Diceros bicornis minor: one gene and its partner. The protein of the gene in region 1 interacts with the protein of each later gene in a pairwise test. Links are inferred from orthologs where the notes say so. Each region holds a gene or a part of one and is shown on either strand. Other genes may lie near its edges. The genes, in order: PTPN6 and LAIR1.

What was found.
Region 2: the proteins of PTPN6 (region 1) and LAIR1 interact in binary tests that used the Homo sapiens proteins (3 or more experiments, as listed by UniProt). The link is inferred for Diceros bicornis minor from reciprocal best matches to the Homo sapiens genes PTPN6 and LAIR1.

What each region holds. Positions count from the first base shown.
Region 1 is NC_080756.1:54,817,160-54,832,294, forward strand, and holds the start of PTPN6 (tyrosine-protein phosphatase non-receptor type 6), read right to left. Parts: upstream 8,079-15,135; 5' UTR 7,848-8,078; coding exon 7,834-7,847; intron 3,377-7,833; exon of another isoform or gene 3,187-3,376; coding exon of another isoform or gene 3,179-3,186; intron 3,092-3,178; coding exon 2,969-3,091; intron 2,745-2,968; coding exon 2,550-2,744; intron 1-2,549. Other genes in the region: C17H12orf57 (protein C10), read right to left, coding at 8,604-8,755, 9,518-9,694, 9,999-10,050; ATN1 (atrophin-1), read right to left, coding at 11,766-11,799, 12,009-12,189, 12,534-12,677, 13,591-14,287, 14,680-14,902, 15,106-15,135. UniProt on the Homo sapiens protein: Tyrosine phosphatase enzyme that plays important roles in controlling immune signaling pathways and fundamental physiological processes such as hematopoiesis.
Region 2 is NC_080773.1:32,123,726-32,139,214, reverse strand, and holds the start of LAIR1 (leukocyte-associated immunoglobulin-like receptor 1), read right to left. Parts: upstream 6,951-15,489; 5' UTR 6,781-6,950; coding exon 6,747-6,780; intron 6,278-6,746; coding exon 6,242-6,277; intron 4,496-6,241; coding exon 4,175-4,495; intron 360-4,174; coding exon 249-359; intron 152-248; coding exon 109-151; intron 21-108; coding exon 1-20. UniProt on the Homo sapiens protein: Functions as an inhibitory receptor that plays a constitutive negative regulatory role on cytolytic function of natural killer (NK) cells, B-cells and T-cells.

The DNA of each region.
Region 1 (15,135 bases):
GGCAGGCACTAAGAAGAGACACTCACAGGGGGCAGAGAAATTGAGTATCTACAATGTACCAGGGACTGTGCTAGATGCTTTCAAATCTACCACCATATTTAGGTCCATTACTCTCACAAAATGCTGAGAGGTAGGTACTATCCCCACTTTACAGATGAGGAAACTGAGGCTGGGTGATTACACGCTGGCCCAAGGCCCTTGCTGATAAGAGGCAGGCCTCAGGAGTTCTAACCAGACCCACCTCTGAAAGTTAAGTCAAAGGCAGAAAGGCAGGCCATATCAAGGCTATCTGGAGGGGAGAAACCGAGGCAAGGTCTCCATGAAGGACAGGGCTAGGCTTGGGAAAGAGAACGGAGATCAAGAGATACACAGACAGAAGCTAATCCACAGAGAGCAATGGAGCTGGGGAGAGACGGAAGTCACAAGGGAGGCATGATGGGGAGAACTCCCCAGGGTGGTAGGGAAGACAGACAACCCCACTGGGGAAAGAGTGATTTGGGGGGCTTTGGGGTGCCCAGGATGACATCACTAAAGGGGAGGCCGGGGCTCAGAGGGGCTCAAAGGGGCAGAAAGCAGAACTAGGACCTTTCCCCAAAGCACACCCCCTTCCCAGGAGGAAACTGTAGCCCCACAATGCCCAGCCCCACAGGAAACCACGTGATGGAAAAAACACAAAACTCCTTCTGGGGAGAGAGTGAGAAGTGAGGTTGTGAGGTTTCCTCAGCCCAGGGACCAGGGGAGGGGGGGCATTTTCCAACCGCAGGGATGGGGGAAGGAGGGAGGGGGCCAGTCTGTCCTGCCCCCTCTCACTCCTGCCCAGAGGCGACCTCCAGAGCCTCCTGCCCTGTCCAGGTGCCCCCTGGGCCAGCCCATCCTACCACTCAGGGGTAGGCCAGGGCCCCTGGGCAATGGGGAGGGGGCTAACCCTCTTCCCCCAGGGCCCAGGATGAGGAAGTTTCCATGCAAATGCCAGGCTGACCACAGGCAGAGAGCTAGCCATTGAGGGACAAATGCAAATTCCCTCAGAGGAGGAAGGGCAGCAGCCAAGCAGGGAACACAAAGGGAGGTTTGGAGAAAGAGCCTCCCACACAGCCTCCCAGGGTCAGGGGTGAGCCAGGCATCCTGGCGTGGGTCATCAAAAGGGCCTCTTAGAGTCAGCTTCCCTGGTCTTGATTCTCTCTCTCCTTGACCCACCACCCCCAGCCCCAGCTCTGCCCTTCTCCTGCACTCCCAAGCAGTTTGATCCCAGGCCTCAGGCTGCTCCCCAGGGAGGTCTGTTCAGCTCCTCCTTCCCTCTTCCAGCTCCATCCACAAGCTACTGCTTCTCTAGGGTCTGGGTCAACCCATTCTCTCCCAGCAGAGCAGACCCTGGCTGAGTGTAAGGAGGGAGAGGACGTGAGGAGTTCAAGAGGGTCTGGGTGGCAAACCTCCATGAGTGTGCAGGTGGGCATAGGAAAAGGGCAAGAAAGTACTAAGGAGGAGCACCATGAGCAAAGTCACCAACACTTGGGCTTTACTCCTACAGGAGGTGGCTTCAAAGGAAGTGGATCAGTGGCTTCATGTTGACTGGAAGGAGATCTCCAGTGGTGGGCCACACAGCCTTTACCTAAGCCTCACCCAGTGCTAAGTTTTAATCTTGGCTTGAACAAAAATACTGAGACAAGTTGGGAGGCATGCCTCTCAGAAAGACTGAAAACGGACAGAATCAGGTTCAGAATCATTTCAATAATCAATACGCTAATATCAGACAAGGGAGAGTTGGCTTGGCCCCAGGAGTATGAAAAAGGCCCATGGAATTATTCAGCTGCCCTTCACCTTAGCAGGAGCTGTCTTTGAGATGCAGCCGCTAAAATGAGCCTCCATGTAAAGCTGAGTGTTCAGGTCCCCCCACCCCCCCGCCCATGCTTTAGGGAGACCACATGGGGAGTAGCCAGCCCAGTTCTGGGGACCACATCTCTGGAGCCAAAGGGATGGGAGGGAAATGCCTTGAGTATTACCCTGTGCCCAGGTACTAGGCCCCTTACACACGTGACCACATCACACAGTTTTCAATGATCTGTGTTCTGGTCCAGGGACTAGTCAAGCTCTACCCAGCCCCAGAGGGCAGACAATCCTCGCTGGGTTGCTGAGATAAGGCATTAAGCGTCCTCATCAGCGTTAGTCCCTATGCTCCTCCCCAACACCAACCTCTCTCCGTATTAACCTGTACTGGGGGAGGAAAAGTTACAGGAAGGCAGATTCAGTTCCATAGAAGGAAGAAGAGCTTTCTAATAACAGAGCTGGCCTGCTATAAAACACGGTCACTAGCAGGGCCTGGGTTGCCAGCTGACAGGGACCCCGGAGAAGGGCGAGGTGACCTTCTCTTGCTTCCTCAAGGGTTGATGGAAAGGGGAGGGAAGTTAGTCCCCTGAGACCCGGGCCCCAGGATCACATGGAGGAAAGAGACCCACAGAGCCCTGGGAAGGAGCGGGGATGGGGACGCATTGACAGCGAGGGGTGGAGGCCAGCCCGCTCTGCGTGGGGGTAGGTCAGGGTGCGAAGGCCCTCACCTCTCACTGGTGGGGTCAGAGCAGTTAAGCGGGTACTTGAGGTGGATGATGGTGCCATCACGGTCCTGCAGGACGCCCTGCTGCTGTGTGTAGTACTCCACCAGCTCCGTCAGCGTCGCAAACTTCTCCCCTCCATACAAGTCGTAGAAATCTCCTGAGTTCTGGATCCGAATATGGGTCACCTGATCCCCCACCCTGCAGGGTACCAGGCAGTGAGGCCAGTGGGTGCAGGAGTAGGGGTGGGCATGGGGTGGGGGCTGGGCTGAGGTCCTGAGTGTGGGGCACACACAGGGATGGGGTGGACACAGACAGGGACAGGGGACATGCTCGGGCTGGGGATGGGAAGTTGGCACTGCCACGAGGGAACCGGGGATGAGCTGCCAAAATACGGGCCCTGGTGGGAGTTGGAGGCCACCTACCTGACGGAAAGGGAGAAGTCGCCCTGGTTCTTGCGGCTGGGCCGAGCCAGGAAGCTCCCGTGTACACCTCGGCCCTTGAGCAGGGTCTCTGCATCCAGCCCACTGAGATCTCGGTGAAACCACCTGGGAGGCCGGGAGGGCAGTAAGGAGAGGTCCCACGGCCCCCAGGGCATCCTCGCCTCCTGCCTACCATGGGTCCCAGGCCCTTACCTCACCATCCTTGGGGCTCCCCGAGAGGAAGGGGTACAAGGAACGAGGTGTTGCCAGCGGGTTGGGGCAGGCAGAGAACTCGGGGGCTAAGCCTCCAACAGGGCTCTCAGCTCTCAGCGCCCAGGCCACCTCACCACCCCGCGGTCCTGGTTATGGGGCTGCCACTCCAGTGGCCTGGGGCACCCGGCAGGGCGGGGACAGGAAGGGGCGCGGCCGACCCCTTGGGGGAACTCACTTGTACTTCTCGTTTTAGAGCAGAGCGAAGACAAGCAGAGCGGGGTGGCAGTGGGGGTGGGGACGGGGCGCACTTCCCACACGTCTGCCGTCAGAGGCTTCAGGAGCGTGGCCCTCCGCAAACGTGACAACACACGAAATAAGGACACGTGTGCCTTGCACCCTCCAGGCAAGGAGCACCCTCATGCTTCCTACACGTGAACCTGCACAGTCACATGCCATCTCTTCCTCCTCCTCCAGCTGCTTCCACACAGCCTTCCCTGGTCCAAGCTACTAATAATGGTGACAGTGACGACTGTCATTTGATGGAGTCTCAGTATGCCAGGCACTGTACTAAAAGGTTGTCTACGTGCCCTGTCTGCCTTATCCCTCACAACAGCCCTATGGAGCAGGTACCATCTTTATCCTCACTTTACAGACAAGGTTTTATCCTCACTTTACAGATGAGGAACGTGATGCTCAGGGAGGGTAGAGAAGTGGCCGGAGGTCATGCAGTCAGTAAGTGGCAGTGCCGGGATGCAAACCCGGACGGTCTGGTTCCAAAGCCTGTGATTTTAGCTACCACATGCCAGCCCTCGGGGCTTCAAGGACAGAGGTTGGGAGGCTCCTCGGCCATTGGGGCTGCAGTGGGAGGGGGAGACTCCTAATAGCCAAGGCCGTGCAGATGCTGACAAAGTGAGGGGCGCCCTTGCCTCTCCTGACAAACACACTGCACAGGTGCCACTGGGGCAGAGGGATGGACAAAATGACCCCTGCACAGCCCTGTCAAACTCGCACTTTTCAACTTCTTGTCTCTAGGCCCTTGCCCCGCCCTGCCCTAACCGTGTAGTCAGAGCCAAGGAACAGAATGGGAGGAAAGCAGATGGGGATAGAGCCGCCCGCCCCCTTGGGTCGGGCCACCTGTGCCTGAGCTGTAGGTTCTTGCCAAGTGGGTCTGGTCTGAGTCAGCCAGGACTGACCAGGGGCATGTCTCCTGGGGGCTGGAGGCTGGGGCCGAGGTCCCGGCCACGGCTGATATTCTCAGGGCTGGTTGACCTGGAGAGGCCCTAAACACTAAAAGCTTATGATGTACCCAGTGTGTCATCCCCATACAACACAAACACTGCCAAGCCAAAACAAGAGGAAAGAAGCCCCACCAGGGAGACACAAGAAACTCACACTGGTGGCTTCCCTAGAGAGGGAGGCCTGGTGGCCGGAGGAGAGGGCTGGGAGAGACGTTTACTTCTCCCTCATACTTTTTTGAACGTTGTAGCATGGGCATGTATTGCTGTTATAAAAATAAGTAAATTGACTGGGAGATGGCAATTTCTGGGAAACATCTGAGGTGCTGGGACTGCTCTAAATCTTGATCTGGGTGGTGTATACACGGGTGTGTATAAGTGTGACATTCATCAGGCTGTATTCTTAATATTCATGCACCTTATGTATGCTATACCTCAATTAAAAATAAGGAAAAAATAACAAAATGTTAAAGCCCAATGAAAGTGTATTTTTCCTATGATGACTACTTTATCATCTTTTGAAACATCAAACGTCAATTTTCCCCCCTAAAAAGAGCTCCTCCTCCCTTCCGGTGCCCTGGGGAACTTGCTTGGCCTGTTTATTGCATGGTCTAACACTGACTACCCCTGCAGTCTTGGACGGCCACCCTGAAGGACCATGAACACCCTCACAGCGAGGGGCAGGAAGAGCCCTTTGCTCTAGTTGCTGCTAGTCTTGCTCGCCTCCGAATGTTCAAAGCTGAGCACGCTTCTCACGGAGTACATGTCTGATAAACAAGCTCATCAATACCCGTTCACATATGTGGTCACAAGTCCAGCCTCCTGGTCCTACACTTGCACACGCTGCTTGTCACATATAGATGAGTACACATACACGCACATACAAGCCTCCATTTAGGCACATGGTCCCACCACATGCACCTCATCATCCATGCCCATCTACACACATACCTGGTCCGGTGCAAACACCCACACACGTTCACACCACCCTGACCACACACGAAACTGCAGGTCCGTGCTCGGCACTAAACATCTGCTGCACCCTGGCCACAGGCCTCTCTCCTTCCGGGGTTTAAACTGACTTGGCAGGAAGAAACTAACCAGGCACCCAGAAACTCCTGACCCATGGAAGAGGCAGGAATTTCTCTGAAGCCAAGTAGTCAAGCTGGAAGACAGACAAACACTAGGATAAGATATACAGTCTCTGCTGTCCCTTGACAGAAAAATGAATCGTAACCACCTCCCCTCCACCTCCCCTTGACATAAGTGCTCTGGAGTTTGCAGAGGACTTGCAAACACACAACCCCATTGGGCCTCAGACATCCCTGTGAAGTAGGAATTATTGTTTAACGGAGGAAAACAGGCTCAAGGAGGCTGAGAATTACAAAAGCAAGCAACCAATCATTCGGAAGAGAAAATTCACCTGGGAAGCAGGGAGATAAAGGTCGAGATAGAGATCAATGGTGATACAGAAAGATAGGTGGTCTGGAAGAGCAAACAAAGTGAAATAATTTCTAGAAAATTATGAACTTCCCGGAGCCTCGTATCCCCACCTGATAAACGGACTTAAGAGTATTTCCCAAATACTGATGTAAAAAGCTAATGTTTAGTAGTAGGGTTTAAGTGCCAACAGCTTTTACTTTACATTTTTTTTTTTAAAGATTTTATTTATTTATTTATTTTCCCCCCAAAGCCCCAGTAGATAGTTGTATGTCATAGTTGCACAGCCTTCCAGCTGCTGTATGTGGGACGCGGCCCCAGCATGGCCGGAGAAGCGGTGCGTCTGTGCGCGCCCGGGATCCGAACCCAGGCCGCCAGCAGCGGAGCGCGCGCACTTAACCGCTAAGCCACGGGGCCGGCCCTACTTTACATTATTAATCCACATGCCAACCCTATTCGGTAGGTCTTAGCCTAATTTTAGAAACAAAAACTAAGGCTCAGAGAAGTTAAGCAACTTGCACAAGGTCACAAGTGAGTGGGAAGGTGGACAAATCAAGGCTGTCTGATGCCAGGGCCTATTGCCGTCTCCACCACACCAACCGCGCCGCTGGAGGCTGCAGTGCGGGGGGATGGGGCAGAGGGCACCGGCACAGCCCACGATGGAAGCGGAGGGGCTGGTGTTCCCACAGAGGCAGCCTCTGCAAAGGCCCCGAGCGGGCAGGCACAGGGCCACCTGAGCCATGCTGGGGTGTGAGCAGAGTGGCATGGCTGGAGCAAAGCTGCTCAGAGAGGCTGGCACCTGCTGCAAAGGGTCTTACAAGGCCAGGCTGAGGAACCAAGGAAGGACTCTGCACCGGGAGAAGCCTTGCCAGCTACCTGGTAGGAAAACAGCCGTGGCAGGAGTGTGGGAAGGATGAGGGACCAGAAGACTCAATGAGAGCCCTGTCAGGGGGCTGAGGGTGACGAGGTGTGCACTGGGGGCAGCAGTGCAAACCGGAAGGGCAGACGTGTGAGAAGAACCAGCAGGACTTGGGGAGACCAACCCACAAACACCAACACCCCAAGCTGGTCTTCACTGTAAGATGCAAACTCCAGCAAGGCCTAACTGCCTGTCCCTGTTCCCTCTCCGCTGGTTTACTCTGCGGCAGGCGCTGTTCTTGTCTCTTTTGTTCCCACTGCAGGGCCTTTGCACTCGCCACTCCCTCCGCCCAGGGGCACGTGACTATCACCACATGGCTGACTCTTCCTCATCATCCAGGTCTCAGCTCCCGCATCACCTTCTCAGGAAAGCCCTCCCTGACCGCTCCAGCTAGTGATGCCAGCGGCACACTGTCACTCACTAGCACATGAAACTGTTTCATTTTCTGCATAACACTTCTGAGAAATGATCCTATTAATTGGGTTCCTTGTGTAGTCTGTCACCTCGCACTGGAACGAAGCTCCGTGAAAGCAGGGACCATGTCCACCTTGTTTGCTACAGTATTGTCAGCACCTTAAAAAGTACCTGGCCTGTAACAGATGCTCGGCATGTATGTGTTGAATGAATGATGCAGGGGAGGGGAAGTGACAGGAAACCGAGAGAAAGAGGAGCGGAGGCCAGATGGGAAGTCATGTGGGAACAGGGAGCTTTCTCAGGTTTGCATTTCAGACACCCTGTTTCAGGTGACGTGGGCTACCCAGGGGCACAGGTCCTAAGCAGACGACAGAAGCAAGGGAGAAATGCAATGGTGAGAATAAATACACATCTGTCAGGGGAAAGTCCTAGAGAAAAGGAGCGGTGGGGCAGAGAGGCATGAATCAGCCTGGGATTCCTCACATCTTGGGGGGAAGCAGTATGTAGAGACAGGAAGCAGACCCAGGGCAGGAGGCAGCAGCAGATTGCACTCATAGTCTCACACCTGTTAAAAGTGAGCATGAGCCCCGCCTCTCCCTCCCAAAGTAACAGGAGACTGTGGTACCCAGGTGGAGCGGGGGACTTACCCACGGGACAGCATCTCCCCAGAGAGATGGGGAAGTCGCAATCAGAGGGCCACAAGGGGCGGGGCTGAGCCAGGGGCACAGCTGTGCACAGTGGCCCAAACCAGGTGAGGAAGAACGCTCGGAACTCGGCCACTTCCTCCTCGAAGCTGACCGCTAGGCCAATAGCACTGCAGGGACAAGCCCCAGGACTAATGATCCCCGGAAAAGGGACAGGTGGGGCGGGACTGGCCTCACACAGCCTACAGCAGCCTGCTTCTCCCTCCAGCCCTGCTCGGTAGTCCAGGGCCCGCCTGCCTGTCCAGGGCCTCCCTCCCTTGGGATGGGAGGAGCCACCTGGAGCTCCACCTGGCGCTCAAGCTGACAGAGGGAGGGCGGGTGGAAGCAAAGACCAGGAAGTAACCCTGGCCAAGGGAACACAAACCAATGGGGGAGTCTCTCCATGCACAGAAGCCAAAAGGCCTCAGGAAAAGCCAGGAAACCCCACTCCTCAGAGGAGGTGCCACCTGTGCAGACCCACTCACCCAGCATTTTGAGGGACCTGCATCCTCCCACCCTGTCTTGGAGGAGGGTTGGGCCCCACAGGAGCATAGGAAGGATCTGGACAGGGAAATGGAGCAGCCTGGAATGGCAGAGGGAATCTGGGGCCAGGAGGTGGGGGTTGTCAGGGTCACAAAAGACTGACACGGAGGCTAAGTCACAGGCAGGTTTATTATCCTCTGGAACACCAACATCTTCCCTTCCCAGGCAGTGTCACACGGGAGAGCCAACCCTCAGGAGGCGGCCACGCTGCCACCTGCAGCAGGCCCGTGGGGTGGCAGTGTCATAGGGGGCAGGAACAGTGCCTTCAGCTTGCCTGACAGGCTGGCAATCTCAGGATCCTGGGCTTCATACGACTTGACCAAGCGGGCAAACTTGAGGACACCTGCAAGGGGGAGTGGAGCGTCAGCCCACACCCCAAAGGGACGGGTGTGCCCAAGATGGCAGGGGGGAGCAGCTGGAGCATGAGTCACTGGCTGCGCCTCCTCTGGCCAGGTAGCTGTCTGCAAAACACAAGACACATGCAGGTCCCTACCCTGTGTGGTTCGGATCAACCACTTCCTGGTCTACACCAGGCACAACTGGATAGGATGCAATTAACGAAGATATCCCAAGCAGTGCGCTTCTCACTATCAGGTGAACCATTTTAGCAATTTAGTCACAAGAACCACAAGTATGAACACCCATGAGATCCCAAGTCTATATAACCAGGACACATGAGGGCCCTGGGCCAGCTGGGCTGAGTCAAACAACATCCTTGGGGAACACCATGATCTCAACGGAATTGAACTGCTGACCCTCAAACAGAGATTAGCTGAAACACCTTGGATGGGCTGCAGAAGCCCACTGACACGCAGACATATCACTAAAAGCTCTCAGAAGGGGTTCAGGTCCAGCTCTGCTGTGACCTCGGGCACTTAGTTTACTGCTAGAGTCTGTTTCCTCATCCTAACATGGGATAACCATATCACCACTTACGGTAACGACAAAACGCACCTGGGGCATCGCCTGGCACAAGTTCGGAGTAGACCCTGGGCTCTGAGTGCTAATAGTCAGATGGTGACTGCCGCCGTGTGGCGAGAAGGACGACGACGGCTCAGGGACCCGACGGATACAGCGCCCTCTCCCCGACCTCCGTGCGACCCACCTTCCCCGTCGCAGCTGAAACCATAGGCTTTGATAACCTCCTGCTGAATCTGCGTGGCCACGGGCAGCACGAATTGCAGCATCTTGCCCATGTCGTTGCACGCGTTGTCCCGAGCCTCGTCCATGCGCACGGCGTTCTCTGGGGCCGAGAACGCCTGGATTACCTCGGCCAGGACCACTGTGCCGCAGATGCATCCCAGGGAGGCGTCCGGGATAGGCGTCGGAGCATGGCCGGCGGGCCCAGCCAAGAGCGCAGGGAAGAGGGCAAGGAATTAATTAGTGGACTGAAGCCATAGTAACCCGACAAATTCGACTCCCGAATCCCTCGCTCTAGTAGACAAGAACCACCTCTTGGAAGAGTAAGGACGGTACCCCTCGCCCCCGTTCTCCGGCGATGCAACCACAGCTCTCGCTCCGTATCCTCCGCCTGCACCCTCCTTGCGCAGGCAGCCCGCCCACCCTGTGACGAGCATGCTTCTCACCCTTGGCCTGTTCGGCGCTCAGGGCCGCGGGCTGGGCCGAGGCGGACGCCATACGGCAACAAAAACCGCACGTGCGGCGGAACCAACTTAACGCTCAAAGAAAAAGAGGGTTCTCTTGCAGCGGCTCTCGGGGATGCGGGCGGAGGGGAAGCGCATCAGCGTAGCCGGAAGCCTCTCCGCGTAGCGCTGGTCTCCCTGCTGGGACTTCCTGGCAACGGCAAAACCACTAAATGCGAATTTCTAATACTCCAGTACTAGCGACAAGTAGACACCACCCCATTTCAACTAACTCTATTGTTCAAAACGAGCGGTGACGGGGTTTTCCAGTAACAACCAGAAAACCTACTAGACAAATTCTAAAAGAGCTGTAACACTAAAAAGAAAGGCCTGGAGAGAAGGCGGCACAGCCAGGAACTCCACTATCGGTGAGGGTGAGCTCAGAACGGGGTTCTTCTAATTCCTACTGTATAAGCAACGAGGCACAGTGTAACTTTCAGAAGGAAAAGCAGTATTCTAAGGAACTTACTCATATCATTGATTTCTGGAGTTTGTGAACGTTTGTTAAGGCTCTATGCAAATGAGACCGATGCTGATTGGCTGAGAAAGAAGCCAGTCACACCCCTTTAGTTTTTAAGAACGGAGACAGTGACTCGCAGCAGTAAAAGCTTGGAGCTAGAGTACCTCTCGCGCTTTCCTAAAATGGCCTTGTGATGCCATGTTCGCTGCAGCGGTACGCCCTCTAATTTCTTTTCTAAGCTTGAAGTTGTCACTCGCTCCTTCCTCAAACCATAGGATTCCAATCGCTTTAACCCACCGAAACTACGGCCCCTGCCCCTCCGCCTCATAACCGTTTCTCTAGCCATTCCACGGAAAGGATTCAGGACTCTGGTGGCTCCTAGCCGTGGGACCAGTTGCAAAAACGTTCTCAGACCCGACCACGTCCGAAGCGTGCCTGTCCCAGGCCTCCAGCATCTCCATTTCCCAGCCTTGGCAGGAAGGAGGGGATTGGCACCGGGAGGACCCCCACTAGGAAGCCAGGGCTCCAGGGCCCCGGGCTCTTCTGAGATCCCGTCTCCAACTCTCCAGGGTCCCTACACTCAGTGCCTTCAGAAGGTCCGTCCCTTCCCACTTCCCTGCCAGCCTCTCCGGTTCCACAGCTTCCTCTCCAGGGACCCCTGCGCAGAGACCCCAGCCCCCATCCCAAGCCCACCACCATAGCCCGCAAAGAACCAGTCACAGCCATCTTCCTGGGGAGTCGTGAGGATGTTTTTGTTTGGTTGTTTTTGGTTGGGATGTTTTTTAAAGAGCGTCATATAGATATTTATATATATAAATTATTAATGTGGGGGAGGGGCAAGGGACATACATCGCAGAGGGGGCGCGCACACACAGGGACTGAGGAGGGGCAGGGGCGGCACACGATGCTACGCAAAACAGCCACATCTAACAGATGAAATAATCACACCAACGGGGTGGGGGAGGGGTGGTGGCCACTGGGGGTTGGGCATGGGGGAGGAAGAAAGCAGGGGGACAAGGGAGAAGGACCTGGTCCAAGATACTGTGCGCTTTCTGCCCCCACCCCCACTACCTCCCCACCGCCACACACCACAGGAGCCTTGGACTTCCATCTGTCCCTTCCTCCCTCCCTCTGCTCAGCTGCGAGGCCCTTCAACTGAGCAGCACCCCTCCTCGGCTCTGGGTGGCAGGCCTGGAAGGAGGCCTCCAAGGTCCAGATGCAGGGGCCATGGGTGCTCTTGATCGCAGGTTCTACAGCGGCTTGTCGCTTTCCTTCTTCAGGTGACTAGGGGAGAGGGGGTACAGAGCAGAGAGAGGAGAGACTGAGGTCGACCCTGACCTGGCCCCTCTCACAGAGGGGGATGGTGGAAGAGAAGGGCCAGGTCTCCCTCCCCCAGGAGCCTAGTGCCCAGCTGGACCATGCCCACACCCTGCCAGCTGCCAGGCCAGCTGAGCTTGCATCCCCTCACTCCCTGCCAAGGGGTGTCGTAGTACCTGTAGTAGTCCTCCTGGGCAGGTAGGGGCACGCTGTGCAGCGGGTGATGGGCATGTAGCCACTGCTGCTGCTCTAGCGCCAAGCGCTGCAGCTCAGCTGACTGCGCGTGCATGGCCTGCAGCTGGTGAGCTGCTGACATCGGGGCAGAGAGGGAGGCTGGCAGGTCCCGGTAAGGAGTAGCTGTGGGCAGAAAGAGCAGGAGGCACATGACTGATGGGGTACAGATACTTACTCTGGGCCAGGGGAGAGCCAGCCACTTTACATACAGAGGAAACTGAGACTAAAAAGGTTAGGAAACAGCCAGTCCTGCAAGTTGCCAGTGGGGGAGTTAGAATTCAAACCTCTTAGCCTGGCACTAAAACCTATGCCTCTCTTGGGCAGGGCCTCAGCCCTCCTACTTCCATCCTGGTTCCTCTGGGCACCTCCTCATCCCTCCCCAAGCCCAACTAGGCCAATCTCACCCAAATTCCTCCTTTCTGCCCTTCTTTCACTAGACCCTCCCCACCTCCAACCTCCATCCTTACCAAAGAGCTGGTGACGAAGAACTTCATTCTCGTGCAGAGGGTGAGGAAGAAGGGGGTTGGGGAGGGTCCCGGCTGGGTAGGGGATCCGGGTAAGGTGAGACCCTGAGGCCAGGGGGTCAATGAGAGGGTGCACCGAGGCAGACGCTGGAGGGCAGAGAGGAGGAAGGTGTCACCAGAAGGCAGAATTGGGGGAAAAGCATGCATTTGGGTGAAGGGAGCCAAGCCTGGGAAGAGAGATGGACAATCAAAAACAGGGAGATCCAGAATGGAAGAAGGAGGCACAATGGAAGAACTGGGGGCCTGGGGGATGGACAGGACAAGACCCTACTGGAGTAGGACACATGGATGGCAGAGGACAAATTACAGTTGTCAGAGGGGTCTGAGAAAAAGGAAAGAAAGAAGTGCACTGCTTGGAGGAGATGGAAGAGGATAGAAAGTTTGGGAAATGAGACAGGAGGAGAAAGGAGATTAAGAGAGAAAGCACAAGAGAGCCTGGAATGAACGTGTTTGTAAGGTTAGACTGGGCAGTGTTCTGGACAATGAGAAATATGGTGAAAGGATAGTAAGGAAAGCTCATATCACCTATGACCCCCACAAGCAAAGCCACAGGGCTCTTTCTGGAAGGTCACAGATCTAGAGATGGGGTGGAACATGAAAGACCTCCACCTGGGAGGAGAAGAGAAGATGGCAAGAAACAACAAGAGTCAAATCCAGACAAGCAAGAAAATGGGTATGAGAAGGGCTCGGGGAGAGGGGCTGTGAGGGTATAAAAGTGTTGTTCCTTCCAAGGTTTCCAGCTGGGTCTTTATCACGAGTGGGCTGCTAGAGTTGGAAGAGAGCCGAGGGGTGGAAAATTATAGTCTCTGTAGCGAGTTTAGGGCATGAGGAGACAGGCTGGCAGATGACAGGAAGGCAAAGATGTGGGCAGCAATCTCAGGAGAGAGGCTCGTGCCACACTTAGGGAGGGACGTCTTGGCCTCAGGAACAGAAGAGCCCAATCATTTGCCAGGGGGCAAGGTGGCCCCAAGAGGCCAAGGCAAAGAAGTCGAAGTCTCACCTGCATGGATGGCATCCTGCTGGTGGAGGTGCAGGTGGGAGTGGATGTGGGAGTGCTGGTGGTGATGGGGGGTCACATTGAGCATCTGCAGCCGGGCCAACGGGTCATTGCCCAGGGCTGCCACCCGTTCTGCGTGCTGCCTCTCAGCTGCCAGACGCTCAGCGTACGACATATCAGGCCGCAGGGCTGGCCCAGCCGCCAGCGCTAGTCGTTCTCTCTCCAGGGGCCCCAGGCTCGGATGAAAGGGGAAAGGGTGCAGGCCAGGTGGGCCAGGCTGCAGAGCCAGGCCCCCATGTCGAGGGAAGGGATCCAGGCCTGGCCCAGGGACCCCGTGCAGGGGTTCCAGCTCACTGGGCTTCACCTCGAAGCCAGGCTTGAGGCGGTCACGGAGGTCTCGTTCACGGGCTTCCCGCTCCCTCTCCCGGGCTGCTGGGTCACTGCTGTACAGCGCCGGGACATTGTAACCCAGGAGCCCCGGGTCCACCGCCCCCAGGGGCACGTAGAATGGATGGTTGCGATTGCCAGGAGACATGACGTGGGGCCGGGCGTATTCACTGAGAGTGCGCAGGGCCGGAGTGTCAGGACCCAGGTAGGGGGGCACTGTAGCCACAGCACTGCCCGGCTCAAATGGAGGGCGATGGGGCACTGGGCCGAGAGATGGGCACTCCACTGGAGCACGGCCCTCCTGAGCCAACTTCTGTGGGATACAGAGAGAAGCGGACTCAAAAGGGCAGATCTGGAGAGAGGTGGCTGGTCCTGAGCTGCTCATTTGTCTCATCAGCTGAATGCCAAAATGCCTGACATTATTGGCACTCAGCTTTCCAGGAACTTCGCTACCCTCTTCTCGTGGATATTGGCTCTCCCTACGATCCACAGGTAGTCTGACCTGAGCTTGCCTTCCCCCAACCCAGGAACGCACTGGTCCCTCCCGCTGGAATCCTTTAGTCTCCATCTCCTGGGATGCAGTGGTTCCTCCTCTCTGACAGGTGGCGCGATGACGCCCCCACCCCTCGAGCCTCCCTGCGCGGCGCAGAGGGCGGGCGGGCAGGCGGGCCAGAAAGAGGGCGGCGCACGCGGTGACGCACTCACCACGCTACGCTCCAGCTCGCGCTCCTTCTCGCGCTCGCGCTCCTTCTCGCGTTCCCGCTCGCGCTCGCGCTCCTTTTCTTCGCGCGCGCGCTGCTCGGCCTCCCGCCGCACCTTCTCCACCAGGTCGGCCCGCTTCTTGGCCAGCTTGGAGCCCTCCAGCGGCACGAAGTACAGGTCGCTGCGCGCGCACGAGTTAAAGCCGCGGTCCAGGTGTTTGTTGAACCTGCCGGGTGCAGAGGCAGCGTGCGCTCAGCCCCTGTGAGCTGCCCGAGCGGCCCCGCGGGGACCGTGCCCCAAAACCAGCCCCCGCAGGCTGAGGGCGAGACAGGGATCTGAGTCCTTTAAAAAGCACATGAACGCCGGGTGGGCCTGCTCCAGCTCTCTGTCGGTCCCCATTCCCCGCCCGCACCTGCCCTGGCTGCTCACCTGGCTGACTGGCTGGCGTGGCTGGGCACA
Region 2 (15,489 bases), on another chromosome or scaffold:
TGTCAGCATCTGGGCTGAGCCTGAGTGGAAAGAACGAGTGAGCACTGGGGGGCAGCCTGGAGGCAGAGGACTGGGAGGGGGTCGGGGGCTCATTCTCAGGGGCCTCACCTCTCTTGGGGCCTCTGCTCCTTGCCTCTGCTGCTGGGGAGCCCTGAGGACAGTCAGAGGTGTGAATTAAGAAGAGAGGCCCTCTTCCCAGCACCCCAAACAGCCTGCCCAGCTCACCCCACCCTCTCCCTGAGACCTACCAAGTTTTTTCTGATGCTGACGATGGAGGAAGAAGATGACCAGGAGGAAGAGACAAATGAGAAAGGCCACAGAGACCCCAATGAGAATATAAATATATTCTGTCGACAGGCCTGGGGGAGCATGGAAGATGAAATCAGATTATCAGCAGCATGCATTTATTTAGCACCTACTGCATACCACACATATGCTGGGTGCTTATATATAAAATCTCTCACATGCGTAACAGACTTGCAACATGGGAATCGTTATCCCCAATTTACAAAACCGGGGTCCTGAATGCTGAATTCTTCTGTCCACAGGGCATCAGCAGAGCTGGAATATGATCAATACTAAAGGCCATTCTTTCCCCCTTCCCAAGAGGCACACACCAGGTCCATGCTCCTCTGTTCCCACCACTTATGGCAATTGTCACCATCATACGAACTTGTCTGTGTGATTCCTAGGAATGAGGAATCAGGAGGACGTGGGTCAGAGGCCTGAGCTGGACAGGGAAGACTGAGTCTCCGGGACCCCTCAAGGGATCTTCCTTGCTTCTGGGACTTCCACCTGCTCCCTCTAGAGCAGCACTGCCCAGTGGAACTTTCCGTGAGGATGGAAACGTTCTACGTCCGTGCTGTCCCCTATGGTCCCACACGGGACTGTTTCCATGGAAATAGAAGTTAAATAAATTTAAAATCAGATCCTCAGCTGCAGCAGCCACATTACAAGGGCTCAGTGGCCACACCTGGGTAATGACATCCTCACTGGATGGCGCAGATATACAGCACTTCCTTCCCACCGGAGGTTGTATGGAACAGCGCTGCTCTCCGCCCTTTGGCACCTGTATAGAGACCACACCCGGGAGGAACAGGGAGCTGGGACCTCCCCATGATGACCTCCTTGTGGGCTCCCACCCAAGCGCAGGAATCCCCATCTCTGATTTCTGTTTCTCACAGCAGACCCTGATGGGGGAGGAACCACCGTTCTGTGCTAGAAGCAGCCAAGAGCCCGTGTCCCCGTGTTGCCTGAAGCCCTGCAGGTAGCGGGCGAATCCATCGCATCAGCCACGGTCTAAGCTTGGCGCATGCGCTGTAGGTCCACCACCTCCTTTACAGTTCACCGCCTCTGGGCGGTGCGCCTCGCCGCTCCTTTCACAGGTGGTCAAAGTGAGGTCCTGCTGGGCTCGTCCACCCACAGGGTGTGAGCCCCCATGTCCCCTCTTCTGGACAGCACCTCCACCCTTCCCGCTGCTTCAGAGGCTGAGTCCTCGATGTCCTTTAAGAAAGGAAGAAAACCACCTCCCTGGGCGTCCTTCCCTCAACCCCTTGTGCACCGTCCACCATCCAGGACCCCACCCTCTGTTCTCACCATCCCTGCCCGTCCTTCCGTTTATGATATTTACCACAATTTAAAATTGTATATATATGCAATATATGTATAATATATATTACAATGCATTTATATATGTATTACATTTTATGTAAATATATTTAATATATTATATTATTATTTTTGTATTTTATATTAATGATATTATTAATTATTATTATTAATTATTTATTAATTATTAATTTATATATTATATTTATTAATATAGTAATATATTAATACATTGTAATATATTGTGTAAAATGTTTAATATGTAATAATTATAATAAATATATATTTAAAATTATGCGATTTAATGTATATATGTAAATTTAAATTGTATAAATATTTTAAATTATATATAATTTAAAAGTACTTATACTATATGTTATATATAATATATAAATTATATATATTTATTATATAATACATGGTACATCTTTATGTTAACATTTACATATATATTAATTTTAGTAATACATAATATACTGTATATCATTATATAATATATATTACATTCTATACTCATTTTAATAATATATTGTGTTTTGTTATACTACTTATATATTTAATATATAATGTAAATACATACTTGAATATAAATTATAGATCTGAAATTTTACATTGTAAATTATATATTTAGGTAAGCACATGTGTACGTATGTGCATTTCTTTCGTGCTTTCTAATTAATTCTCCCCAGCAAAGTTTGGGAAGCGGGACCATTTCTCTTCCTCCACCACGTGCATCAGTCCCGCATTAGGTCGGTGTGTGGCACATATGAAGTGAGAAGAAAATATTTGCTCCATGTTAACACGAGCAGCACTTCTTCCGACTGTCCCATTCGGCAGGCACTGATTTAAGCCCCGTGCCCTGGGTATGTGTACTCCTGCATCCTCTAAACAGCACTGCAGTCCGTGCATTTATTGCACATTTTGCACAGGAGAAAACTAGGACATAGAAGATGTTGGCGGTTCACCTGTGGGCACAGAGCTGGGGACTGGCAGGGCTGGAATCTTAACCCTGAACCCTGCAGTCTGGCCATTGGGATTCTGCCCTGAATCTTTAGTCTTCACCACATGAAAAATGGGAGAGAGAGAGAGAAGGACAGGGGGAAAGAGACAGACACAGACAGAAAGAGACATTTGCTCTGTGCCCCCCATCCCAGCAGAGTCAGAGCTCTCTGAGAAGAGATCTCTCTTCCTCTTGATGATCTTACATCGTTGTTCGGCCGTAACTATCAACAGATCACATTCTCTCCCATAGTATCTGATTTTGCAAGGTGAGCTATCAGTCCCTCTGTCCCTCTGTCCCTCTGTGTTTTGCAGAGCCGGGCCAACAGTAGGACCCTGACCACAAGGGGACAGTGCAGAGCTGCGGCCAAACCTTGAGGTCTGGGGTCTGGCTGCCCTGGGCTACCCTGCCCCTTCAGAGCCTTGTTCCTGTGGCAAGAAATTTTAACTTTGTTTCTATATATTAAAAGGGGGGGGCTCTTAGAAGATGAGGGGAGCACCTCCCACATTGGGCTGTGGTTGGCAATAACTGCTTTCACAGAGCCTGGCATGGGGTTTGTTCAATCATGGTCATTATGAATATTGATGACACCCCAGTGCCCTGCAGGTGTCAGCCCCTTGCTATGGTCTTACCACTCCCTAATCCAAGCCCACGGCAGGGAGTTGGGCCGTGGAGCCTGATCCCCAGCACAGAGCCCTGCAGAAACCCCTCCAGGCTGAGGTCTCTACTCTCCAGCTGAGGGCTGTGTGGGCTGGGAACTGATATCTCCAGGGGCTCCTGTGACAGAGGCAGGAGAAGGGCTGATGTCCCACTCAGCCTGGCCCCTCTCTACCCTGAGCATCCATCCCCAGACACTCATCATCAGTCCCAGACAACATGCTGAGATTCCCGAGGAAATGGGGCAGGGGCACAGGAGACAAGGGAGAGCCCTCCCGCTCCACTCTCTGGGGGTGGTCACTGTTCTGCTCCTCACACACTGTGCTCTCCTTGACCTCATGGAACTGGCACAGAGCAGCTCCTCTGAGGCCCCAGGAAGACATGGAGGAGGATCTGAGTGTCCCTGATGGACCCTGAGTCCAGGATGTCACGGGAGCTGACCACACACAGGGACAGGGACAGCCTCATCCCAAAGGTTCCCCAAAGCACCATCCAGCCCAGGTCAGGGTGCCCTGGACCATGTGACTTGCCCAATGGAGGATGGACCACACCACAGGGGACACATGGGGCCCTGGGGTCCCACAGATTCTGATCAAGTGGAAAGCATGGTTTAACATCATTCTGAGAAAAAACACACATTCTCTTGAAGCGGATCTGTCCTGCACCCAGTCTTTGGAAGCTCATTCCCCACCCAGCCTAACAGGGCCAGCTCCGTGCCCACCCCAATGATAAGGCTGAGTGTCCAGGCCATTGTGGTGTCCAGATGGGACCAGGGCTCCAGGTATATGAGCTGAGTGTGAAGGCAGAGGGACACATGTGCAGAGGGGGAAAGGGAGGTTAGCAGGAGGGGAGGGTAGCCTGTGGACAGAGGTCCAACTGGGGACAGGATCCAGGGTCCTGGGGACAAACCTGAGGGCAGAGTGGAGACGTCCTCCTCTGTCACCTCCAGCTCCAGAATGTTACTGTGCTTAGACCAGCTGAACTTTCCATGATAGAGGCAGCGATAACGCCCAGCAGAGTCGTCACTCACTGCAGTGATGGGGAATCTGGCCTCTGTCCCATGTGGATCAAGTTGGGACACTGTGTGCTGATCCCTGTAGGAGCGTCTATCCTCCTTCTCCAGGCGGAATGACTTAGCCCCATCAGGGCCCCGACACACGATGGTCACAGGCTGCCCTCGAGGGATCACAGGGCCTGGCTCAGCAGAGATGGAGGGTGTAGGCAGGGCCCCTGGAGGGAAGCAGAGCAGGATCTCAAGATCCACTTGTGAGGAAATCACCATGTCACACAATTCATCCACTTTAAGTGTACACTTCAATTTTTTTCGCAAATGCAGAGTTGTGCAACCATCACCACAAGCCAGTTTCAGAACATTTCAACATCCTCACAAAAGACACCTCCATGTCCATTCTCCCTGCATGTGAATTCTCATCACTGTAGTGTTATCTTCCCCACTTGATGTAAGGATCCGAGACTTGGTCCCATCTTGCTTAGGGTGACCCGGGAAGTGTCAGAGCAGGCTGTGGGCCGGCATCTCTGCTGCAGAGCCCTCCCTCCCTGTGCATGACCACTTTCTAGGGGGACAGAGAGGGCTGGGATGGAGGCAGAGGATGGGAATGACCAGGTCATTTGTGGGGACAAGGGAAGCCAGAGTCTGGAGTAGGTAGGAATGATCTGGCCGGGTCTGAAGGACAGCTGATCAGTCCCAGGTGGGATTGTGGGGGACCGGGAGCACAGTATGAAGGTTCCAGTGAAGGTCCAGTGGGGGTGTGGCAGAGCCCCAGCACAGATCTGGTCACACAGCCCCCAGTGGATGCGGATTCCTGTCTCCAATGTAAGTCCTCTGTGAAGCGCTCCTCTCTGAGTTTTCTCTGTATTTTCTACCCTCCTCTCAGCCTTACTTCCATTTCCTGTTATTGAGGCTGGTGGAAAACCCCATCTGTCTCAACTAATCTGGGGCAAGGGGAAGAGAGTGTTTGTAGCCCTGAAACAGGAAGGTGACGTCAAAATTAGCAAAATCGGTGATAGAGGCAGGGAGCTGGCAGAGGTTTATCAATCATTCATTCGCCCATTCTTTCTTTCTTTCATCCAAGTCTTAGTTCCTATCTGTCCTCTTACAGACGCCTCCACTTGCCAGTAGTTCAACAAATATGAAAAACACACACATGATCTCCGCTTTCTCATGGGTGAAAATCTAGAGGAAGGACAGATGTTGATCGAATAATTGCACAAATCTGCAGCTACAAACTGTGATGTGTGCCCTGGGGGTGAGTGTGGGAACCTAGGGGAGAAGATGGGAGGCAGGGCTGACCTCATCTGGGCAGTTGGAGGAGGCATCTAAACTGAGATGGGAGGGTCAACATGAATTACCCGAGCTGAGCGATAGGGGACGCCAGGGCATTCAACCTGGAGGAATCAGCATGTCAGGAGGTCCAGAGCTGAGTGGAAATGTGGCGTGTTTGAGAAAGTGAAAGAAAGGTGAAGTTTCTGGAGATAAGGGAACCAGAGGGCGTGGGGACAGACAGATTCAGACCAAGAGAGATGCAGGGCTCTCATTCTATCTGCAGATAAACTGTGGGAGGACTCTAAAAAATTAATATTTTGCCTGAAAATATACGAAAAAATGCAAACAAAACTTTAAAATTATCATTTGAAAATCATATCCCTGGGTGATATGTTGACTATAGCAGGATGAAGAAGATGGGATCAAGGATGTATTCTCAGATTCTGCCCTTGGCGACCGTTGTGTTCTCTGCCCGGGGAATGCTGAGGAAGGTCTAGGCTTGTGTGGGGAGAGCTCACAGATTTGAATAGTCTTTGTGGGGCTGTCAGAGCACAGGTGGAGAACAGGGAGAGATTGGGGTTGTTTGCAATTGAGGGCATATTGCAGGGCCTTCCCCCAGGCCCTCCCAGGATCAGGACCACTCCCATCTAGAGCTGCCTTTGGGGTGCGGAGGGATTGCGGAGGAGACTCACCATCCTGCACGTGGGTCATCTGGCTCAGACAGAGCACTGGAAGAGAAATCGTAGTGAGAAAAACGTCCACCACCCCGTTTCCTCCCAGGGCTGCTATCAAGGGGATTTGAGCGAGCCAGGGGGGTCAGCCTCTTATAATTTCCAAACCACCCCTCCTCAACATGACATCTGAGTGCAATCTTTCTTCTTGCTCTGAAATAGTCTCAAGACAAATCCCCCATCCCCTCTTCCAAATAGATACTCCTCTCTTCCAGCCCTTCTCAGAGTCTGAACTCATCTCCACACCTGGGTACCCACTTCTAGGACTGAATCTTCTGTGGTCAGACTTGAGGTCTGGGCCAAAGCTGAGGGAGGAAGACTCCAGGGGGTGGGGAGGACCACCTTCTCCCCCAGGGTCCCAGAGTCTCCTGGACCAGAGTCAGGACTGAGCAGGAAAGCAGACCCCCTCCCCAAGGCTCCCACTCCCTCTGTGCCTGGAATCCAGTGCCCCCATTCCAGGACTCACCGAGGCCCAGGAGGCTGGTGCGATGGGGAGACATGGCCCAGGCCACGAGCCTGTGCCGTCCTGGAGCCAATGGGAGGAAGGATAGAGCCTACAGCAGACACAAGGGGACAGGATGTGCTGGCCGGGGGGCCCTGTCATGGGGTTTCTACATCAACGGCCTCACGAAAAGGGGAAGTGCTCTCTCCCCTGTCCTCTCCACAATTCCTGCTAATGAAACGGGGGAGGGCCTTGGCTTCCAAAAAGATGTTTTCTTCCCCTCCATGCTCAGATGAGGCTCAACTCATCTCCCCATGAATGCCTTGAGGTGTGAACCTCATTCTCAATCTATGGGACAAGGTAGAACATAGATTTGTGCACGAACTGACTTGAATGTCAGTCCAAACTCCACAAACTCACATTCTGTTCTCGAGCAAGGCGTTGCACCATTTTATGCTGATGTTTCCTCATATTTAAAATGGAAAGCCTAACATCCTCACCAAGCATTTAATATCACAATAAATGTTAAATTCCCAGCAGGATATTTAATGCATTAAAAATATCCTACTAACATGAATTCTCTTTCCATCTTCCCCCAGTGGCAGTGGAATTGGGAAAGCATAGGGTGGCCCATCCGCATACGTGCAATCCTAAAGAGATGGAATGATCAGGAGACAGACCTTGGGGTTGGGGCCAGATGTGGGACCCAGCTGGGTGCAGAAACAAAGAGCAGGATAGGGATGGGGAAGGCGCTTGTGCATCACGGAGCCCAGTAGGACCCAAACTTCCATTGTGGGTACTCATGTCCACTGCCTCTGAGGACAGAAAAGAGCTGCTCCTCCCAGGGGTCGCTGTAGCAGGCATTGGTGGTGATCTACACAGCAGCCATTGCTCACTTTTTCCTTAGTAACTGAAACCTGGTTCTGTTCGAGTGGCTATGTTCCATGTTTGGGGCCAAGAGGATGAAGTTTGGGTTAAGGCAATCTAGCAATCCCATTTGCAGTGATTGGTCCAGAACGGGGTACATGACCGTGTATGAACAACAATACTTAAAACAGAGTATACCACGGTTTCTGGAAATCATATTTCTCCCTTAATAACAGAGCGTCTCATAAGGTCATTGCCCCTTTTACTGCTGTCCTTCATTGGCAGCTATATCATGATGATGTGATATTTGGAGCTGCAGCAGCTGTCTTGCAACCATGAGGCAAGAAGCTTGACCACAACGGGGGAAATACTGAGCAAACTGAGGTGGAAGAATACAAGATTCAGTGTTCTTAGAAGGTTCTTGAATTGCTAAACCAACCCTGGGATGGCCTATCCTTGGAATTCTTAAAAAGTAAACAATAAATATCCTAGATTTTCTGTCAAAATATCAGACTAAATCTATGGAACAACACTCCATCTTAAAATACAATAATTATTTAAAAAATGAAAACTGCTTAATACAATATTTTAAAGGTCTTCTTAAATGCCTCAAAGCAGTGAAAACTAAGTGAAGGCTATGGAATCAAAAATTAAAGGAAGATGAGGTTCCCCACAGTCAAGCTGAATGCTGACCTGGCTCTCACCTTGATGGTGATGAATTAACTTTTATTTTCATGGCCTTGCAGACTGTAGAGGTTAAAGGATGAAGCCCAGGGATCACCCCAGTTAAGAAGTCTAGGGAGACAATCCCCTTGCTAAGCTGGACCAAAAGCTTCCACTTTATGAGTGAATTAAAATTACTCACCCATTTCTGAGGGCTGCAAAGAATACATGTTTTGATACTCAACATTAAACAAGAGGCCAAAAATACTGTTCCTGAGAAATGACTAACACCAGCCACCCTCCATACCTGTATCTTTCTGGTCTTTTTCTCTGTGTGTGTGCTTCTGTGGATCTCTCTCTCTCTTACTCTCTGGATATCTCTTCCTCTCTTTTCTCAGCTTTTCCATCTCTAGTGGCTCCCTGTCCCCATTCCTCACAGCCCTGCTCCTTGGTCCTTTTATGGTCATATCCATCCCCCAAGCTGTGCTTGATGGAAAGGGCTGACCCCTAAGGCTGCCTTTCCCATTTGCCCCTGTGAGCTGGCCGGGCTATTTCTCAACCTTCCTTCACATCCAAGACCCAGACAACTGTATCTGCCTCATGACTCGAGTTCCTGCCAGACATGATTCCAGATTTTGTAGGGTCACCTGGAACCCTCAGCTCCAGGAGCATTGCCTGCTCTGCATGGAACTGTAGCTCCCTGCACCTGCTCCTCCCAGCTCTCCTTCATTTGGGTAATGGCTTCTATGCATTAAATTCTCCTCCTTTCTCTTTTTTTAGGCCTTCATTAGTGGTTTTTATTTTGTAGTTGTTGTTGTTGTTTATTGCAGTAACATTGGTTCATAACATTCTATAAATTTCAGGTGTACATCATTACACTTCTATTTCTGCATGGATTACATCATGTTCAGCACCAAAATACTAATTACAACCCATCACCACACACATGTGCTGAATTATCCCTTTCGCCCTCTTCCCTGCCCCCTTCCCCTCTGGTAACCACCAATCCAATCTCTGTCTCTATGTGTTTGTTTATTGTTGTTATTATCTACTACTTAATGAAGGAAATCATACAGTATTTGACCTTCTCCCTCTGACTTTTTTCACTTTGCATAATACCCTCAATGTCCATCCATGTTGTCACAAATGGCTGGATTTCATCATTTCTTATGGCTGAGTAGTATTCCATTGTGTATATATACCACACCTTCTTTATCCATTCTCCCTTGATGGGCACTTAAGTTGCTTCCAAGTCTTGGCTATTGTGAATAACGCTGCAATGAACACAGGGGTGCATGTATCTTTACACATTGGTGTTTTCAGGATCTTTGGATAAATACCCAGCAGTGGAATAGCTGGACCATATGGTAGCTCTAGCCTTGACTTTTTGAGGAATCTCCATACTGTTTTCCATAGTGGCTGCACCAGTTTGCACTCCCACCAGCAGTGTATGAGAGTTCCCTTCTCTCCACATCCTCTCCAACACATGTTGTTTCCTGTCTTCTTAATTATAGCCATTCTGACAGGCGTGAGGTGATATCTCATTGTAGTTTTGATTTGCATTTCCCTGATAGTTAATGATTTTGAACATATTTCCATGTGTCTGTTGGCTATCTGTATATCTTCTTTGGAGAAATGTCTGTTCAGGTCTTTTGCCCATTTTTTAATTGGGTTGGTAGTTTTTTTGTTGTTGAGATGCATGAGTTCTTTATATATTTTGGAGGTTAAGCCCTTATCAGATGTATGGTTTGCAAATATCTTCTCCCCGTTGTTAGGTTGTCTTTTCCTTTTGTTGATGGTTTCCTTTGCTGTGCAGAAGATTTTTAGTTTGATGTAGTCCCATTTGTTTATTTTTTCTATTGTTTCTCTTGCCCGGTCAGACATGGTGCTTGAAAATATGTTGCTAAGACCGATGTCGAAGAGCGTACTGCCTATGTTTTCTTCTAGAAGTTTCATAGTTTCAGGTCTTACATTCAAGTCTTTAATCCATTTGGAGTTAATTTTTGTGTATGGTGTAAGGTAAGGGTCTACTTTCACTTTTTTGCATGTGGCTATCCAGTTTTCCCAACACTATTTGTTGAAGAGACTTTCTTTTCTCCATTGTATGTTCTTGGCTCCTTTGTCAAAGATTAGCTGTCCATAGATGTGTGGGTTTATTTCTGGGCTTTCGATTCTATTCCATTGATCTGTGTGTCTGTTTTTGTGCCAGTACCATGCTGTTTTGGTTACTATAGCTTTGTAGTATATTTTGAAATCAGGGAGCGTGATACCTCCAGCTTTGTTCTTTTTTCTCAGGATTCCTTTACCTATTTGGGGTCTTTTGTTGTTCCATATAAATTTTAGGATTCTTTGTTCTATTTCTGTGAAAAATGTTGTTGGAACTTTGATAGGGATTGCATTGCATCTATAGATTGCTTTAGGAAGTATGGACATCTTAACTATGTTAATTCTTCCAATCCAAGAGCACGGAATATCTTTCCATTTCTTTGTGTCTTCTTCAATTTCTTTCAGCAATGTTTTATAGTTTTCGGTGTACAGATCTTTCACCTCTTTGGTTAAGTTTTTTCCTAGGTATTTTATTCTTTTTGTTGCAATTGTAAATGGGATGGTATTCTTAATTTCTCTTTCTGCTACTTCGTTGTTAGTGTATAGACATGCAACTGATTTTTGTATGTTGATTTTGTATCCTGCAACTTTACCATATTCGTTTATTACTTCTAAATGTTTTCTGGTGGATTCTTTAGGGTTTTCTATATATAAAATCATGTCATCTGAAAATAGTGACAGTTTCACTTCTTCCTTTCCAATTTGGATCCCTTTTATTTCTTTCTCTTGCCTGATTGCTCTGGCTAGGACTTCCAGTACTATGTTAAATAAGAGTGGTGAGAGTGGGCATCCTTGTCTGGTTCCTGTTCTTAGAGGGATAGCTTTCAGTTTTTCACCATTGAGGATGATATTAGCTGTGGGTTTCTCATATATGGTCTTTATTATGTTGAGATACTTTCCTTCTATCCCCATTTTATTCAGAGTTTTTATCATAAATGGATGCTGTATCTTGTCAAATGCTTTCTCTGCATCTATTGAGATGATCGTGTGATTTTTATTCTTCATTTTATTAATGTGGTGTATCACGTTGATTGATTTGCGAATGTTAAACCTCATTAGTGGTTTTTAATCAGCTTTATTGAGAAATAATTTACATACAACAAACTGCATCCACAAATATGTCCAATTCATTGAGCTCTGACCGTTGTGACACCACCATCATAGTCAAGAATTGCATCACCATCAAAAGATTCCTTGTGTCCCTTTGCTCCCAGGTGACCACTGATCTTATTTTCTTTTTGGAAAATATTTATTTGTTCCCTAACTTATTTTTTAAACAAACTTACCTTGAAATAGTTTTAGATTTAGTTCCAAAGATGCAGCAAGATTCCATACGCCCTTCATCCAGTTTCCCCTTAGGTAAGTATTTTACATAACCATGGTACATCTGTCAAAACCAAGCAATTAACATTGCTGCAATCACTAACTAAACTACAGACTTTATTTGAATTTTATATGTTTTTATCACTAATGTTCTTTTCCTATCCCAGGATCCAATTCAGAATACCATATTGCATTTGATTCTCTCTTTCTTTTAAATAAGTAGAAGAGTTTCTGTTTCCCTGGTTGGATCTTAATTAACATTCCCATTGTGCCTGAAGAGCGTATGCCCATGGAAGACATGGGGGCAGGCTGACTACTTGGAAAGGCAATGGCTGAAAGAATCAGCATCTATAGCTTCCTCCACCTACTAAGTTCATCGGGTCCAGCAGGGTGGTTATTCTGGACTTTTCCTTAAGGAAGGGGATGCAGAGCTGTCATCCCTCACTACCCTTGTAAAGGCCCTGAACCTTTGCATTCTTCTAAGACTCAGGTCTCTAACTGGAGAAGATTTGTGTCCAAAGCTTACTTCAGGATGAGCATAGAACCTCTTCCTCAAACAAAACCTTTACTTGGGGTACTCCACAAATAGTGAATAATACATTCGGATATATACACAACATTTGCAAATTAAATATAAACTTAATGTCAGATGCAAAGGCAAAATCTACATAAATAAAATGACATATAATGCAACATGAAGTATTAATGAAAGATGAGTTTGGAGAAAAAACAGAGAGTGGAATTGTGGTTACCAGCAGCTAGGGGGTGGGGGAATGGTAGAGATGTTGTTCAAGGGTACATAATTGCAACTAGTAGACAAATAAGTCCTGGAGATATAATCTGCAGGACAGCGATTATAAACAACAAAACTGTATTCTAAACATTACATCTGCTGAGAGTAGATCTTAATTGTTTCCACCGCTAGAAGAAATGATGATCATGTGAGGCAATAGAGGTGTTAGCTAAGCTGCAGCAGTAATCATATTGTAATATAAATGTATCAAATCAATATGTTGTACACTTTAAACTTACACAATGTTATATGTCAACTATATCTCAAAAAAAAAAAAAAGATGAGTTTGCATCAAAATAGTTGAAATATTCCAAAACTACTACCTGGTCACTCCATGTTCATCAGTCCTCCTCCTGGGCCTGTGATGGGGTAATACTACCTGGTCACTCCATGTTCATCAGTCCTCCTCCTGGGCCTGTGATGGGGTAATGACCTACAGTTGACTCTCATGGACTGACCAGCGTCCTCCAGCTGGATCCTGGTCCTCAGAGAGTGCTGCTTGTTGCAGCCTTGGGTCTTTCCCTCATTACACAGAGTACCCAATAAGATCTCAAAGACCCCCATTTCTGAGCATCCCCAGTTTGGCTCAGCAAACACAGAGTGTCTGCTGTGGGGGGTCTACGGAACCGAATCTGAGCCTAGAATGCCCCGGGGTGTCGAGGCATCCTTTCTGTTTCCGGAAGACTCAACCTCAAAGCCCTGCCCAAGTCATCCGCATTAGCCCACACCCCTGCGCTCCACTTCTCCTGCCTAGGACCCTTGGAGTTCAGCCAAGAAAGCAGCTTGGGGCGGGGTGGACTCACCCACTTCCATCCCAGTCCTCTGGCCCTGATGCAAAGATGTTCCTGCTGCACCTGAGGCCAAATAAAACTGAAAATGCACAGGATGTAGTGGTCTAGGCACCAACAGTTTACATCGTCTACAACTTAGCAACCATGCATACAAATGAGCGGTTTTCTCGCTACTCTGTTTGGGTCTCTGATCTTCCCCAGGTTGGAACTGAGAAAAGAACAGAGATTCCTGAAAATTTTCTACAGGAGACTCAAGTCTATATTAGCAACGCTCACCCCCTAATTAGTGCCTGACATGAATTGCATCTCTGCACCAAGCCACGTATCCAAAGTGGTCACGATTTGGTTTTTCCAAATGCTACACGCATATCAAAGCTTTTAAAAGAATCTTTTGCTTTCCTACTTTCCTTAACTACAAAGTTTTATTATTATTATTATATGTAATATTCCTTTATCGACTAAATATGAAAGTACATTACTCTTGTAAAAAGAAGTTCAAAATATACAAATTCAAATGATTATTCCAACTAGAATTCTGACTCAGTACCATTTATAAAGCCATTAACTTTCTCTCATGAAGGTCAATGAGTTACTGAATGTATCTTGGCATTCCATATAATTGGCAATATATAATATGTATAGAAACTATTTTTAAAATCCTCTTATTCATTGGCCAAATGAGATTTCTCTCTCTCCTTCTGTCTCTCTGTCTCTCTCCCTCCCTTTCTTCCTCTTGCTTGCTCACTTTTCCTCCTCCCCCTTTCTAAACTTTATTTTTCTTAAAAACAGCCCTATAGTCCTAAACTCTTGGATTAATACAATTCTCACTTTACTTAACCTTACACTCAGCAGTGAGCCAGCCAGCTCAACCAGTCTCCTGACGCCCGACTGTGGATATGTCTCCCCAGTTTCACCTTCGGGATGCCACTTTTGTAGCTTGAAATTAGCCCCGGTGAGAGTATTTACGCCACAGAAATTGGCAAACGCTATAATCAGGTGTTTTATTTCAGAGAGCCAATTGTTACACATTTACCGTCGCATGATGGCCCATGCCCAAAGGCCAATTTAGAGAAAATCAAATACAACACGTAAAGAACAACACTGTGAAATCGACATCCTGCAGGAAAACCAGAAAATTAATAAAACCATATCTATTTCTGCGGTGTGACCCACCCTGCCCCGTTGCTTCCTCACCTAAGGTAACCGACATTAGAAATCTTGTGCTCAAATTTCCCTTGCATTTCTGTAGAGTGTTACCACATATATATACATCTGTATGTATATATGTCCATTGTCATTTTTTTAATTTTTTTAATTTTATTATTTTTTCCCCCAAAGCCCCAGTAGACAGTTGTATGTCATAGCTGCACATCCTTCTAGTTGCTGTATGTGGGATGCCGCCTCAACATGGTGGAAGAAGCAGTGCGTCGGTGCGCGCCCGGGCTCCGAACCCCTGGCCGCCAGCAGCAGAGCGCATGCACTTAACCGCTAAGCCACGGGGCTGGCCGTCCATTGTCATTTTTAACTTTATGACAAAATGTAGTTTTCAAAATGATTTATTGAAATCTCACCAAATATAGAGTAAGCCTGTGTCAACGTTTTATTAATTCATTAATGATGAAATCATCATTCAAAATTCCTATCTTTACTCAAATATGGACCCTGCCCATTGTCCCTTCTTCCTGCATGTCTGTGCTTCCATTGAGATTATTCTTCTTTCTCCTGAAACTTTCATTCTTTTGGTACCCATCTGTTGATGATGAATACAGTTTTTCATTGTCCGAAATGACTTTATTTAATCTCCAATTTTGAAGGGTGTTTTCCCCTGTTCTAGAGTTCTAGGTGTGTAGTTATCTTCTTCCATCCCTTGCAATATGGCACCCCCCTTTTGCTGGCATTAATCATTTCTGTTGTGAATAAGCTGTAATTCTTGTTGCTCCTTGAAAAATAAACTGTCCTTTTTCTTTCAACGCTTTTAAGATTTTGACTCTGTTTCACCAGTTTTACTGTGATGTGTCTCAGAGTGTGTGTGTGTGCGTGTGTGTGTGTGTGTGCTTACTTTTATTGAACTAGGATAGCCAGAAAGTGCACATATCAAATGCATAGGTTGATGAATTTTCACAAATCGAGCACACTCATGTCAGCACTGCCCTGATTCATAAACGGAACATTACTAGCTCCACATAAGCCCCCTCTATTCTGCTTTCCAGTAACTTCTTTCCAA